2 linked regions of the Mus musculus genome follow. The protein of the gene in region 1 binds, or shares a complex with, the protein of each later gene. Links are inferred from orthologs where the notes say so. Each region holds a gene or a part of one and is shown in the gene's direction. Other genes may lie near its edges.

The links.
Region 2: Ctnnd1 (region 1) and Cdh26 share a complex: the UniProt entries of both Homo sapiens proteins name them as parts of the cadherin:catenin adhesion complex. The link is inferred for Mus musculus from reciprocal best matches to the Homo sapiens genes CTNND1 and CDH26.

Annotation. Positions count from the first base shown.
Region 1 is NC_000068.7:84,619,652-84,623,302, reverse strand, and holds part of Ctnnd1 (catenin delta-1), read left to right. Parts: intron 1-1,220; coding exon 1,221-1,292; intron 1,293-2,315; coding exon 2,316-2,468; intron 2,469-2,848; coding exon 2,849-3,384; intron 3,385-3,651. UniProt on the Homo sapiens protein: Key regulator of cell-cell adhesion that associates with and regulates the cell adhesion properties of both C-, E- and N-cadherins, being critical for their surface stability.
Region 2 is NC_000068.7:178,468,489-178,472,139, forward strand, and holds part of Cdh26 (cadherin-like protein 26 isoform a precursor), read left to right. Parts: intron 1-1,520; coding exon 1,521-1,766; intron 1,767-3,095; coding exon 3,096-3,311; intron 3,312-3,651. UniProt on the Homo sapiens protein: Cadherins are calcium-dependent cell adhesion proteins. They preferentially interact with themselves in a homophilic manner in connecting cells; cadherins may thus contribute to the sorting of heterogeneous cell types.

The DNA of each region.
Region 1 (3,651 bases):
TGGGGATGGAATCCTGGGTCTTGTGCATGCCACTAAACAACATTTCCAGACCTTTGGGTCTGTGAAGATTAGGTATTGGTACATAGCTCAGGTTGACCTCAACCTTGTGGTCCTCTTGTCTCTGTTTCCCTAGTGCTAGGGTTACAATCGTGCCCAGTTGCTTGCTTAATCCTTAAGCTAGTAGATATCATTTGAATAATCAGGACCATGAAATAAACAACAACGTTCAAGGAAATTTTCAGGAACTTGAGTGTAGAGAGTTAGGGATGAGACACACTGAAGGAAAGTGGGGTGCTCAGACTTTAAGGTGGTGGGGAATCCCAGGATTTAGTGGTTTATCTTCTTCTTTTATTTTTAACCTCTGCTCTGCAATGAAACCACACCCTTCCTTCTTCCTGAAAGCAATGGTTAACTTCCTCCCCTGCTGCAGCATTACACTGCATGTAAAGGGGGAATGGGTGGAAGAAGATCCCAAGGTTATTGGATCTAGTTGTATTCTGTTGGGAGGGGCAAGACATGTGCTTTATATATGCAGTCTCATTAGGTTATGTCTTGGTGCTTAACATAGAACAATTTAACAACGTTTGAGAATGTGTTCTGTAGCTGTAACTTGTTAAAGACGTTGAAGACTTTTTTTGAGGGGCGTTGCTGAGTACTTTCCTTCGTATTTGGAAATGGAGAATTTACTCTCTTCATTCAAGAGCTTCCTGGAATGGGAGTTTACCCTGGTACCACAGCTTGAAGATTCCTAGAACGATAATAAAAGGAGGCTTTTTGTGGACACCCTCCCCCCTTCCGCCACCCCCCATTGTAGCCTTCCTAACTTACATTCTTAAAGCTTTCCAAAAGGTTTTCTGTAGGGAGCTTACCTGAGTCTGTGTTATTAAGCAAATGGTCTTTGAATGCTTCTAATGTGCCAAGTACTGTTCAAGATGTTAGGGATGTTAGTAGCCTTGAAACTACTGGACTCAAACCCTGTGTACTCATGGAACTTACATTCTCATGCTCCAGAAATCCCACCTGCCAGAATTCTAGGCCTGTAGAGGAAAGTGGTATCTAAGATTGTTATGGAGTGTTATGGTTCTTATGTGAGTACCGACAGAAGGATTTCAGTCCACAAATACCTTCTCAAAAGCCCTTTCATTTTTGAAAGAAAGATGCTGTCTTAGACAGAACAAAGGTCAGCCAGAACATGAATTGTTTTGTGGGCTCTGTTTCAGAACGGCCGGTTTGTGGGCGATGCTGACCTTGAGAGACAGAAATTTTCAGATCTGAAACTCAACGGACCCCAGGTAATTGTTTCCACTCAAGGTCTAGGGACTTCATTCACATCTTTGTACCTCTCCAGTCTTTATGATCATATTGCTATGCTGCAGTGCTCATCGTAAATATTTACTAGTTTTTTAATTTTGGAAATTAAAAAGGTACCATTTCAAATTATAGTTTTGCTGATTTTTTTTTTAATCATTGGCTTTTCTCATGGTATTCCTATCTCATTTGATCCTCCAAAAACTGCAATTGTTTTGAGGGAGAGCATAATTTTACATTGTAGAAAAGCTTACCTAAAATCTAACTGAGGAGATGAACGAATCTGATGAATAACAAAATCTTTGTTGGGCCTGATGGGGCAAATCTAATCTTAGTGTCTTAGGAGGCTGTGGCAGGAGGATCAAAAGTTTCAAGGCCTCCCTGGGAGATTGCTGGAACCTTATCCCAAAGTAAAAGTAGGAGGAGGCTCCAAATGTTTTCAGTGGCAGGTGGGGTGCTTGCCTAGCTACCCAAAACAAAGCAAAAACCTGGTATTTTTATTATTTTTTAAAATCCGTATCTTTACTGAGTAAGCTGTTCTTTTTGAAGTATTGCTCCAGTGTAAATATTACAGTTAACACAGTTAATATCCAAGTCGGGGACCAGAATGGGAGGTAACCTGCTGTCCCAGTCACTGCAATGTCAGCATGATTCTAGTTACCTTTTTAAACTTATATGTGTTAGATAGCTAGTACTAGGAAGTTTTATTTTCTGTCCTTTTACATGTGGTCCTAGTTGACCTGGAATTTGCTGTGTATATTAGGGTAGGCTTGAATTTACAGGTCTGCATGCATTTGCCTCTTGAGTGCTGGGATTAAAGGTGTACACTACCATGCCCTGCCTTTTTGTACAAGTATTAAAGATGACAACCATTTTTTATTAAAAACCCCTGAGGACAATGGGAGATGCATGAAGGCCTCCTGTCTCTAGAGGCACCTGTGTTTCTTACTAGAATAGATTGTTACTACATAGGTTCAGTTGTATTTTCACTCTTTTCTCTCTCATAGGATCACAACCACCTTCTGTACAGCACTATCCCCAGGATGCAGGAGCCAGGACAGATTGTGGAAACCTACACCGAGGAGGACCCTGAAGGAGCCATGTCTGTTGTTTCTGTGGAGACCACAGATGATGGGACCACTAGACGCACGGAGACCACAGTAAGCTGAGATTTTCGTGTCTTAGAATGATAGGTCCTCTGTGGTATTTTAGTAGAGAAGCTAACGAGTTAAGTGAGCCAAAGCCACTGTCTGCCAGAAAGAAAGTGATGCCTGGGCAAAGAGACAAGGTAAAAGAAGTTCAGGAAGTGGGAAGAGAGGAGGAGTATGACAGTTACAGTAGCTTCCGGAGAGGATGTTAGTGATTGGGCAGTTTTTTTCCATTGAGGGCTTCTGTAGGATGGAGAAGAGATATAGATGACACACACTTCTGTATAAAGACCTAGAGGGTAGGGTTTCTATCTTAGAGTACTGTGGAATTTAAACTTAGATTCTTTATTTCCTCAATAGTTGGTTTTCCTTTTCTTATTCCTTAAATGAAGGTCAAAAAAGTTGTGAAGACAATGACAACTCGGACAGTACAGCCTGTCCCCATGGGGCCAGACGGGCTGCCCGTGGACGCCTCAGCAGTCTCCAATAACTATATCCAGACCTTGGGCCGTGATTTTCGCAAGAATGGCAATGGGGGCCCTGGTCCCTATGTGGGGCAAGCGGGCACTGCCACTCTTCCTAGGAACTTCCACTATCCTCCAGATGGGTATGGCCGACACTATGAAGATGGTTATCCAGGTGGCAGTGACAACTACGGCAGTCTGTCCCGGGTGACCCGAATTGAGGAGCGGTATAGGCCCAGCATGGAAGGCTACCGGGCACCCAGTAGACAAGATGTCTATGGGCCCCAGCCCCAGGTTCGAGTAGGTGGAAGCAGTGTGGACCTGCATCGTTTTCATCCTGAGCCTTACGGGCTAGAGGATGACCAGCGCAGCATGGGCTATGATGACCTCGATTACGGCATGATGTCTGATTATGGTACTGCCCGTCGGACAGGAACACCCTCTGACCCTCGACGACGCCTCAGGTGGGCAGGAGTGGGGGAAGAGGTAGCTTTAGGGACTCCTAGAGGTCACTAAGCACCTGTCTGCTCTGAGGGCTCTTCCTCCTAGAGCTGATCTTTGCTGGCTGAAGATGCCATGCTGACTGTTTGGATGCGTAGTTGCCATGGAGGAAGATTTTACAATGGGATTGATTGGTCCTCACTCCCTTTCTTTCTTCCTTCCCTTTCTTTATTCTTGTTATTGTTGAGACAGGGTATCACTATTTAGCTCTGGCTGGTAGACCTTTTTTA
Region 2 (3,651 bases), about 94 Mb from region 1:
CCAGTGAGGAGTCTGCAATCATGCCCACCCGTCTCATCTGCCCGTAAGATAATGCAGTAGCTCTTTGTCAAGCCCAACGATGTGTGATAAATATTTAGCAGTTTCCCGTACCTGGGACGGCTTGTAAGCTCCAGCAAATGTGACTGAGTGGAACACATTTGTCATAAACCAGGACGAGTGATTTTTAAAACATGCCTTAGCACATTTCTCAATATTCCCACAAGGCTGAAGTTAAACGCATCCAAATATAAAGCTGCATGTGTGAACATTTTCAAGTAACATTAAGGATCATACTTAAAGAACTCTGTGGATGAAAGCCCAAGCACTGTGGACCCGCCCAGCCCATTTGCATAATTATCTGGTGGAATGTTAGGGAAGCAAGATGCTAGCCGATGTACAGGAAGGGAAGCCAGCCATTCGGCACTCAGGGTTCCATGATTCTGTTATGGATGGCTTCATGATTCCCTAATCTATTTTTAATTACAAAAGGTGATTTCTAAATGATCATAAATTTGTTGCCATGGTCCTATCCTGCCCTCCCTTGGGGTCCCCAGTCCATCAGAATAATTCAGAAATGATGTCCTGGAGTGGAGAGACAAGAGAGTTTATTACAGAGGAAAGTGGGCACCTGAATGAATGAGAGCGGACAGTGGCCATAGGGCCCACTGAGGAGGAAAGCAAATTACGCTTGGAGGAGAGTGGCTAGTGGCCAGAGAGACCACCAATAGCTTTCATTGTTGGTCAGGCCTCTTATACTTTTCCTACAGTCTCTAAACCTGGCTCTTCCTCGAGGGGGCATTTCCCTTTCCAGTGTCTGTAAGGTCTTTGCTCATTACCAGAAAACCTTTAGTGGGTAGCAATGATCAACAGGCAGTCTGATTGATTGCCATGTCTCCACCTTGGGCCAGAGTCCTGCGTTTCTGTCCCTGTTTTCACCAACTGCTGATCATAAGGGAAGATCCATCCTCCATGATCCACAAAGCTGTTAGTATCTGAACTTGACTCACGTGTGGTTTTAGCATCACAGCCTCCTTTTCCCAGCTTTCCCCAGTACACTTTATAAGATGGTGTAGTCTGTCATCATAGGCAATGTCCCCACAGGCTGGAGCTGACCTCATCTTCCCTGGGGATCCCCCATGCTCCCCTTTGAGAGGTACCCAATTCCTTCCCAGCACCACTGCACGTACCATGACTGACTGACAGGACATGTGATTCTATTTCTACTTCTTCTTTTAAAACCCATCAGGAACAGTTCATGCTGCCCAATACTCCGATACTTGTGTGTGTGTGTGTGTGTGTGTGTGTGTGTGTGTGTGTGTGTATGCGCGCGAGCATGCCCGAGTGATCATGATTGCACTGGAAGAGTCTACCAAGCAGGGCCACACCCTGACAGAGAGGCTATGGACTCTCACAGGCACCCCACTCTTCAGGAGCTACTGATACTACTGTTCTGTAAGTTCATGTTTACCCTCTCTCTTTAATATTGTAACTTCTATTGCCTGGGTTCTGTCCTCTCCAAGGCCTTCCCCCGCTGACTGGCACGGGGACTCTGATGCTTTTCCTATCTGATGTCAACGACAATGCTCCAACCCTCCGGCCCCATTCCCGACACTTGGAGGTCTGTGAGTCGGCTGGGAGCCAGCCCCTGCTGATAGAAGCTGAGGATGCAGATCTGGACCCCTACGCTGACCCCTTTACTTTTGATTTGGACAATGCTCAGGGAGACGTGGAAGAGACTTGGATGCTGAGGACAAAGCAGGGGGAAGGTTTGTATGTGTTGGAGGCTAATTCAGACTGGAACAAACTGTGATTTAGGGTGGGGGACACTAAGTCATCTAGTCTCAAGTACACTTGGAGAGCCTAAAGTCTGGAGTGCATTTTGTGGGAGACCAGCCCTGCCAGAAAGGACTCTGGACATGAGGTCTGGGGTGAACTTGCCTCAGTGGGGTATTACATGCCTGCTGTCACTGCTGGCCTTCTTGACACCATGGATGAAGATGGCTGCACACTCAGATGTCGGTCTCTTCTCTTCTCTCTCCTAATTTTCATCTGGGTCCTTGTCCTTGTAGTGAAGAGCAGCAATGGCTGTAACAATGTGAACGGTGCTCTTTGAGTCCAAGAGCATGCTACCACATGAGCTTTTGTGGGGAAGATGTAAAGAAATGTCTACTTATCCCAGTTAGAGAGACTGACAGGCCAAAGGGAGGACTTCATCCTAGCCCAGCTTGACAAGATGGGGGTTCTTACAGGAGCATGGATGAGTCAAAGGCAGCATCCTGTGGGTGTAGGCAGCATCTGTGGGTGTAGGCAGGATTCAATGGGTATAGACTGGATTCTGTGGGTATATGCAGGATCCTATGGGTATAGACTGGATTCTGTGGGTATAGGCAGGATTCAATGGGTATAGACTGGATTCTGTGGGTATATGCAGGATCCTATGGGTATAGACTGGATTCTGTGGGTATAGGCAGGATCTTGTGGGTGTAGGCAGGATCCTGTGGGTGTAGACAGGATCCTATGGGCTTAGGTAGGATCTTATGGGTATAGGTTAGGCCCTATTGGTAGAGGCAGGATCCTGTGGGTCTAAGTTGGGTCATGTGGGTATTGAAAAGATCTAGGCAGGTATGGGCAAGATCCTGTGGGTGTGTAGATCAGATCCTGGAACTTTTTAAAGGTGCTTGTTTAGATAGTATAATTTACAGTAAAGTTTAAAGGTTACAGGCATTTCTTCTATCAATAAAGTTGTAACATAGGTTCATGAGGAGTGTTGCTTATATTCAAGAATAAGGGGTGCTGAAAACTCAGGGCTGTAGATCATTTTGGCCCAAGTTAGCACACTTTATCTTGTATCCTCATTTGAGGTGTGGTTAGGAAATTATGCGCTGTCCTTGTTGAAGGCAATTTTGAAAGCATCAATGGGTGTCCAGCAGGAAAGACTATCCAGTTCCTGGGACAAGGGTCCTCTTTTCTGTCCTATCTGCTCCTTGCTTTTCTGAGTTTCTGTCTTGTCCCACTCTCAGAGCCACAGCCCTGGACAGTAGCAAGGAGATACACAGGGGGCCAATGAGCTCACTCATGTCTTTCTGCTCTTGCAGGCCACTCTGCTGAACTCACAATGCTGAGAAGCGTCCCGCCCGGGGATTACTTGGTGCCACTCTTCATAGCTGACAGACAGGGCCTCGCCCAGAAGCAGACAGTCCACGTGAGAATCTGCTCCTGCCGCAGTGGCTCTGAATGTGAGGAGCCTTCGGACACATGGCTCCTGTGGTGGGCCCTGTCCCCAGTTGGTGCAGCACTTATGGTTCTGTCAGGTGAGTGCTTCCTGGGGGCTCAGCCCCTTTCACTGGCCACAGGACAACAGGACATTCTCTGCACGGGTGGGAGATAAGGACGAACTCCAGGCTAGTGCAGGTCAGAGGTTTCCAGACACGCTAATTAACCGAAATTCAGTTTCCATGTGCAGGCAATTATGTAAACAATGGAATCCACAGAGGAACATGGTCCAAAGGTGAGCATATGTTTGCGGTAACCATGGTTACAGCAGTGCACAGGTGTCTAGGTGCCTGAGCATGGCTGAGGTTAATATGGGCACCGATTAGTCCAAGAAACAATAGAATATTCTTGGCCAGTTAATATCAAGCAGTGAATTCA